Mus musculus: one gene and its partner. The protein of the gene in region 2 binds, or shares a complex with, the protein of the main gene of each other region. Links are inferred from orthologs where the notes say so. Each region holds a gene or a part of one and is shown on either strand. Other genes may lie near its edges. The genes, in order: Mapk12 and Ptpn3.

Region 1 (3,805 bases), on a different chromosome or scaffold from region 2:
AAGGAAGGAAGGAAGGAAGGAAGGTAGGTAAAAAGAAAGAGAGGGGGGAAGGAAGGAAGGAAGGAAGGAAGGAAGGAAGGAAGGAAGGAAGGAAGGAGGCAGAGGCAAGTGGATCTCTGTGAGTTCGAGGCCAGCCTGGCCTACAGAGAGTTCCAGAAATAGCCAGAGCTATATAGTAAGACCCTGTCTTCAAAGCAACCAAACCATACCAAATATACATATACATACATACACATATATATTCTTTCTCAAAAAGAAGGAAGGAAGGAAGGAGAGAAAGAAAGAAAGAAAGAAAGAAAGAGAGAGAGAGAGAGAGAGAGGGAGGGAGGGAGGGAGGGAGGGAGGGAGGGAGGAAGGAAGGAAGGAAGGAAGGAAGGAAGGAAGGAAGAAGGAAGAGAAAGGAAGGAAGGAAGGAAGGAAGGAAGGAAGGAAGGAAGAAAGAACGAAAGAAAGAAAGAAAGAAAGAAAGAAAGAAAGAAAGAAAGAAAGAAAGAAAGAAAGAAAGAAAGACAGACAGACAGACAGACAGACAGACAGACGGACTGAGATGTAACTCAGTGACAGGACATTTGTCTAGCATGAATAAGACTCTGGGTTCCATCCCCGATACTACAAAAATAATTTTAAAATACAATGAATGTGTAAATGTGGATGGTGTGCACTGGAGTCTCTGGATAGCCTCTTACCTGTCTGCGTGTAGCGCATCCAATTCAAGATGACCTCTGGTGCCCGATACCACCGGGTTACCACATATCCTGTCATCTCACTGTCTGCCTGCCTGGCAAGGCCAAAGTCTAGGATCTAAAGAAGTATCGAGGAGGTGGAACTTAGACACTGAGGATAGACCAGATATGGTCCAGAAGACCTTAAGAGAGCTGGGCTTGAGTTTCTACGCTAAACTGTTTGCCACCCTTTGGTCTTGCGCCCCCAGGATTCTCCCTGTGGTCAGTACACCTGGCCCTACCCACCTCAGGTCAAATGCCAAAGGTTTTCTTCTGTTTCACCGTCCCCTAATCACCTTTAGGAGCCCTGAGTGACTAGGGATATTCAGCCACTCTTTGCCTAATAGCTGCTCAGCCTCTGCACAAATGTCTGAGTTCTGTCCCTTTGCCTCGGCCAAGGGTCAAGCAGACCCATAGGGGAAGTAGAAGGGGTCCCCCAACCCCTTCCGTGGTCATCTTCCCCTCCCAGCGATACCTTCAGCTCACAGTCCTCATTCACAGCCAGGTTGCCAGGCTTCAAGTCCTGAGAGAAGAAAGGTGGCCACTATGACCCACCTGCCAGAGCAGGGCTCAGGCTGCACATTATTAGGGCCACCTAAAACTGGCCTGGTCCCTCTGGGGAAGAGCAAGAGGGGCTTTCCTGGTCCCCAGGGAAAGCATCCCCACCACAGACCTATCTTGCCCTTCATAGTTAAGCCATGGGCACTGGGGTTGAGCACATCTGTCTACACAGCTGGAGAGGAGCCCAGCTGCAATCTCCCAGCCCCGCCAGGACTCACTCTGTGGATGACACCAGCCGCATGGATATACTGGGGGAAAGAAAGAGTTCAGCAGCAGTCAGCTCAGGGATACTCCAAGCCACAGAGCCCTTACCCTGCCCAAACGGGAAGCTCTGTCCGCCTCCCTATGGCCACCTCTGCAAAGCCTACCTTCAGCCCCTTCAACATCTGATACACAAGAAACTGGATTCTGTCTTCACTCAGGGTCTCATGCTTCATGAGTTTGCCCAGATCAGTGCCCATGAATGGCATCACCAGGTAGCTGCAGAAGCCCACCAAATCATTACCCTAGAGTGTCCATTCATCACTAGCAATGGGGGGGGGGGGGTCATACCATCCTATGATGTTTCTACCCCTACCATGCCGTGCTAGACCACAACCCACCCTCTGGGCACACTGTCCTTGACAATTACACCTCTCAACCCATGCCCACATCCCCTCTTTCCAGAACGGCAAGCAAGGAGTGGGCTGTGTGTCAGGGGTATTTTGTTTGGGTTTGAGGGCTCTCTGTTTGTTTTTGAGGAAAGGTCTCACTCTGCAGTCCTGTCTGGCCTGAAACTCACCGTGTAGACCAGGATGGCCTCAAATTCAAAGAGAGCTATCTGCCTCTACCTCTGTCATCTAAGTGCTGGAATTAAAGGCTTGCACCACTACCATCAGCCTTGTCTTGTCTTTATTTTATTTTTTGGATGCTTTGCCTCCACGTGTATCCGTGGACCACGCCATGTACAGTGCTCACAGAGACCAAAAGATGATATCAACTCTTCTGGGACTAGAGTTGCAGAAGCTGTGAGCTACCAGATAGGCGCTGGGAATCAAACCCACGTGCTCTTGGAAGAGCAGTCAGGGCTCTTAACCACTGAACCATCTCTCCAGCCCTTGCTTTTGTTTTTGGAGAGAGGGTCTCAGGCAGGCCAAAATAGCCTTGGAATCCTGTCCCTCCTAGCTCTATCTCCCAAATGCTGGGATTGCAAGTGTGTGTGCCACCACAGGCCACCTCAGGGTTTTAAAATTCCCAACATGCAGGGTGAGCGGCTGAGGCTGCACCTGATATTGGCACCTTAGATTGCTTAGTTATACCAATACCTCAGGCACTGTGAGGACCCAAAACTCCCCAGGCTTAGAAGGATAGACAGTCTGGCTTTACTAGGGCATCCCAGTATCCAGGGGTTACCAATAGTACATGGGTTATGATGAGATGTGAATGAGCAGGTATACATCTCAGTCCTCACTTGGGCCATGGGAAGAAGAACTCAAGCCAACTTAGAACCTGAAGCTGGTACCCAGGAGCTGCCTAGGCCCCTCCTGCCACACATAGGGTAACCAGGAATATGGGGCAGGGGTTGGAGCGGCAAGGCATCTAGGTCAGAGGGATGTTAAGATAGATGGAGGGATACACAAGGAAAAATGGTATTATCACTCACACAAGTTCATGGCTCCCAGGAGCATATAGGAGTGGGGTATAGACTGTGGTAAGAGGAGTGGGTGGGCAGTGTGCACCCTATTCCTTACATGGGCTATGACTCCCTGGGGGGAGGGGGGCTTGTCCCTTATCAGATATCCTACATATCATTTCTAATACAATTTCTATCAGTAGCAAAAGTACAGTTATGCAGGGCAGTGGTGGCGCACGCCTTTAATCCCAGCACTTGGGAGGCAGAGGCAGGCGGATTTCTGAGTTCGAGGCCAGCCTGGTCTACAGAGTGAGTTCCAGGACAGCCAGGGCTACACAGAGAAACCCTGTCTCGGACCCCCCCCCCCAAAAAAAAAAGTACCATTATGAAGTAGCAACTAAACAATCTTCTGGCTGGGGGGGCCACCAGGACATGAGAAACTGTATTAAAGGGTCACAGCATTGGGAAGGTTGAGAACCGCTGGGCTATGGGGAGAAGGTCCTCAACCTGACCCAGGATCTTAAGCTGACACCGAGAAGCCACCCAGGTTCCTGCCACCCTCTCAGCCACTAGCACTTACAAGTCTGTGAAGTCGTCCAGAGACTCATCAGGTGTGAACACATCCAGTAGCCCAATGACCTGAAGAACAAGTAGCAGACGGGATAGAGAGCACACGGGAGCTGCAGGGCCTCAGTGCACCCCCGGGATGGCACTGTACTCCAGGCTGAAAATCCTCCCTCCCATAACTATCCCTGTCTCCTCTACTGTCTCCACTGTCGGCTCAGCCCCCATCCTGGTACATTTGCCCACAGACACAGGCTATTTTTGGAGGCTGACAGCCGGGATTCTCAGGGGGTGGGGGGAGGGGCAGTCTCAGGTCTGGGTTGGCTCCAGGCCTCTGAGCAATCCG
Region 2 (4,360 bases):
TGGTCGAGAGGGGGGACCACAAATCACCGATCCCTTCCCAACATGCCAGTCCCTGGGAACTGAAAGGGAAGAGTGTATGCCACGTCTTTGGGCTCCTCCAGCAAGTTAGACCCATCTTAGAAAACAGTGCCTCTTGCACCCACAGACCTGTATGTAGCTTAGACGGCCACAATGAGTCCTCTTACTTCTGTTCTCACTGCCTTTGCCAGCTCACATATGTGTGGTGTGTGTTGGAGGGGAGGGCACAACACTGTAATTAAACTTCCAGGTCACAGCCAACAAAAACTGAGAGCAATTCCCATCCCAGGACTGAGACCAACGGCCAACCTACAACCTCGATTTCTTTCTGGGATAAGATCTGTCTCTGACCTTGTCTTACTGGCAGGGAGTCGAGACCTCAACAAACATATTAAAAACTACCACACCTTTGCTGTGAGATCAGGTAAAGTGAGGGCTTCAAGCTGAGATCTTGGTTAGCTGGGAGTCCAGAGTCACACTAAGGCCCATTACAGATCTGACCTGAGCTGGATGAAAGATACCCTGGATTCCAGGTTGGGGGGGGGGGTCCCTTGGCTTATTCACCATGTTTGCCTACCCACAGCCCTGCATCTGCAAACAGAAACATCTGCTCATAGACATGCCTCAGCTCTTCTAAATGCCCTCAGTAACCTCCAGTCTGCCACTCAGGTCTAATTTGCATACACTAGTCTGTGGATGAGACAAATCACCAGGGACAACACAGATCAATATAGAGTAATAGGCATGTTTTATTCTATTCTAATTCTCGGCAGACTGGTATTCCATTAACTGTGTGCTGGGATTTATGGGAGCGCTCATATACTAGAATATTTAACTAGAATGGCCTACTCTCAGTCAGAAAATAGCTTACCATTGTTAATTTTCAACTAGTCAATCTCAGGAAGGCTTCCGTTTTCCAATACAATCTAGATCTTGATTTAATCATCGGGAAAGACATCTGTGTAAGACACACATGGCAGTCTTATCCAGAAGAAAAAGCTCTGCCCCCAGAACCAGAAGCATGGTTTCCTCCATCCCAGTCATACCCAGGACGGTACAGTTGCCTGCTCAGAGCCTCAATGTCTTCCTCTATAAAATGGGATCGTGACACCAGTCTCAGAGGGAGACCTGTAAAACTGAAATGAGATAGTCCACATACCTAGCACAGCTCTGCAAGGTGACTGCAAAGGTTCGATATTATCATTGAAAAAAAAGAAAACAAAAGTCCAGATGAAATCCTCATTTAGCCTAGGTTACACAGAAGGCGGAGGCTATCTCACTCAGTTAATTCTACTAAAAGGGGAAAGAGGGACGACACGGGGGGTGGGGTGGGGGAGGGGTGGAGGTGGTGAGGCACTTCAACCCAGACACTATATAGAGGCATTCCTGGTAGGCACGGTCGGAAGCAGGCTGCTACTGGAACCTACTGAGCAGAGGCTTTTGGGCACTCTGTAATGCACAAGGAGCAGCCACCACAAAGAACGATCAAACCCGCTGTGAGAAGCTAAGAGACCCCCGCTCCCCAATCCAAAAACATAAGGTTAAGCATGAGAGCTTTGCAGAATATGCATCTTTTTCCCAACCAGGATTTCCAATTCATCCGCTTCGACATTTGCAAGATGGATCATCTTGCAAAAATAGTTCTTTCTGTGAGGCCCGAGTGTCAACTTCTGGAGTTTCGGAACTCACAAAGACTGCCATTAAACAAGAGCAGCTCACCACCGCTCTGTGGAGTTGCTTTTTTCAAAGCCTCAGCAGACGTTCTCCTGGGCACAAACACAGACCCAGAAAATGACTGCCTAATTCTACCTTCCTGACAAAATGGGAGCCATGAGGGTCTCTAACTGAATTAAAATCACATCACGCCAACTGCTCGCTTGCTTTATGCCGGGCACGGAGCCAAACACCTCCACACCATTTATCCTACTTAATCCACCACCAACCAGGCGAGGTGGGCATTATTGCTGCCTGCGTGCAGTGGAGGAAATGGAGGATCAGAGAGGTTAAACGACTCGTCCAAGGTCACCAGCTGGCCAAGGGGAAGAGCCCAACTTGAACCTAGGTCTAGAGTTTCCCAACCACAAGTTCCCTGTACCTTCACGGAACACCCAGGTGTCAAGTTATCTTAACTTCTCATGAATTTTTTAAAGGCAACCCTCAAGTTCGTAATAAGTTTAGGAGGCAGCAACCGGGGGCGGGGGTTTCCGGGCGCGCTCTCTCCCTGCACAACGCAGCAGTGTCACACCGCAAGTTACCAGAGAAGCCACCCCGGTCGCCCGCGGAACGGGGCGGATTGGTTTGGCACTGGAGTTCGTGCCAGGCCCAGGAAATGCCATCTTTGCAATCTGAAGGGGAATTCGCCCCGGGTGGCTGAGCTTCGGGGACCGCGGAGAGCTGGATCCCCGCAGCGGTGCGCCCCCTCTGCCGGGCTGCGGATACCTCGGCGCCAAGCCCAGGGCTCGGCCAGACTGGAGCGCACGCCCACGCCCGCGCCGCTGCGTCCAGAACGCCCAGCCTTTTGCCGCCCACGCCCGCGCCCCGCCCCAGCCCCGCCAGGTGATCCGGGCCTGCGCCCCCCGGATGCCCGACGTGGCGCGGAGACCTGGGGCTACCAGCTCAACCGCTAGTCCTCCCGCGTGTCCGCCGAGCCCCGGACCGGGTGGGGGTTGGGTAAGCCCCGCGTGTCCGCGATCGCAGCAGCCCGCGCTCCGACCCTCCCCGCAGAGGACCCAGTCTCCCATACCTGCAGCATCCGGGGGCGCGGGGCGCCCAGGTAGGTCGCGCGGGCGGGCGGCACTGAAGCTCGCTCGCGCCGCGACCTGGCCGCCGTCTGAGCATGCCCAGTGCAGCCCGCGGGCGGCTCCCGCCGGCCCGGCTGTGGCCGCGACGGGCCCGCGCGCGGGGCGGGGGACCCGGGACAGGGGCGGGCCCGGGGCAAACTCGTGGGACGCTGCCACTGGCCTCCGCAGACCACCTGCCAAACTCCCGCAGACCTCCAGGTCCCCTGGCTCACGCACGCAGCCATTCGTGCTTTTAGCATTTATTGAACACCTACTGTGTGCCTGGCTTTCCCGGATTGCATGCCTAAGAATGGCAAGGGCTTGGCGCTCAACGAATCTGAAATGACAGCGAGCCTTGCGCGGTGGCTTCGTGGCTGAGTTGGGGGTCTCGCTGACTCCAGCGGCTCCGTGGCTGAGTTGGGGGTCGCAGGGCTCCTTTGCTGGTCCTAGGACACCAGGCAGGTTAGCCCTTCCCAAAGCCTATAGGGCCCCTAGTGGCGGGCGTTCCAGCCGGCCTCTTCCGCCTCCTCCCACACCTGTCTTCCTGCGCTCCGACTGCACCTTCCTCCCCATCATACCCTCTGAACTTGACCCGCCTGGAGACCTTTACACTGCCTTTCCCTCGAGGTAGGACGTCTTTTGCCCTGCTTTGCTGGTGTTTCGAGCCCTCTCACCATTCAGGTGCCTCTTGTAGGAGAGACCTTTCTGGCTACCTTTCTAAATTAGCCCTGACCTCTTGCTCCCTCTCCAAGTCCATTACCGCACTCCAAGCATGTATCACTTATCCATTCAACAGTTACTTACGTTCTTCACACTTAATATATAGACAAAATCTCTGCCCCTTGTTGGGAGTTTAGAAGGGACTTTCTCGCAACAAACAACAGGTCCGTAAACAACGCAGGGTATTAGGTGATAAATTCTAAGAACAGGGGAAAGGAGCCAGGCAAGAAAGATAGGGGGTGGCCCGGTGAGAGCTGGTGGAACAACCAGATCAGGTGACAAATACCATTCAGTCACGCAGCTAAACAAGGAAGCTTTCTTGGGACGATAAAGCCGGTGCAAAAACAAAACAAAAACAAAAACAAAAAAACCTCAAAACAAAACGAGCGCAAGCTTTGTGCCCGTGAAACGGAAGGGCGAGCGGAGGGGCTGCTGGAGTATGTTGCCGGCTGTCTCTCGCGACTTAGATTTCCCCCTTAAGGAGTACCTCCCCTCTGTGTCAGCTCGGTAACTCCGCCTCTCAAGAGACCCAGCCTCTAAACGACGCTTGGCTTCCAGTAAGAACTAAAAACGTTTTGTTGAATGAATATGATAACAAAAGGATGGAGAGATGGTTAGGATTCTATGGTCGGACCTGGGTGCTAGATATCCCGAGAACCTTTTGTTCCCATGTCACCACGAGACCCTCAGCCGTGCCTGACTTCCTGGCTTAGATCCCGGTCTCTGTCCCAAGGTAGTGCACCGCTGCAGGCGCCGCCAGAACCTCGCGTCCGGGGAATTCCTACAGAGCCCGGAGTCCTAGGGGTTGCACTGTCCTGGCCCCGCCTAGGATCGCACGCAAA

Evidence for each region.
Region 1: the proteins of Ptpn3 (region 2) and Mapk12 are in contact, whole or in part, in a crystal structure (PDB 4QUM), measured with the Homo sapiens proteins. The link is inferred for Mus musculus from reciprocal best matches to the Homo sapiens genes PTPN3 and MAPK12. Residues at the interface, in NP_002820.3 of Homo sapiens: Arg655, Leu671, Asn674, Arg675, Tyr676, Lys677, Asp678, Val679, Arg751, His812, Ser843, Ala844, Gly845, Ile846, Gly847, Arg848, Met883, Gln886, Thr887; in NP_002960.2 of Homo sapiens: Met182, Thr183, Gly184, Tyr185, Val186, Val187, Arg189.

The regions. Positions count from the first base shown.
Region 1 is NC_000081.6:89,133,926-89,137,730, forward strand, and holds part of Mapk12 (mitogen-activated protein kinase 12), read right to left. Parts: intron 3,535-3,805; coding exon 3,476-3,534; intron 1,764-3,475; coding exon 1,652-1,763; intron 1,532-1,651; coding exon 1,502-1,531; intron 1,246-1,501; coding exon 1,198-1,245; intron 802-1,197; coding exon 687-801; intron 1-686. UniProt on the Homo sapiens protein: Serine/threonine kinase which acts as an essential component of the MAP kinase signal transduction pathway.
Region 2 is NC_000070.6:57,297,520-57,301,879, forward strand, and holds the start of Ptpn3 (tyrosine-protein phosphatase non-receptor type 3), read right to left. Parts: upstream 2,851-4,360; 5' UTR 2,762-2,850; exon of another isoform or gene 2,220-2,761; intron 1-2,219.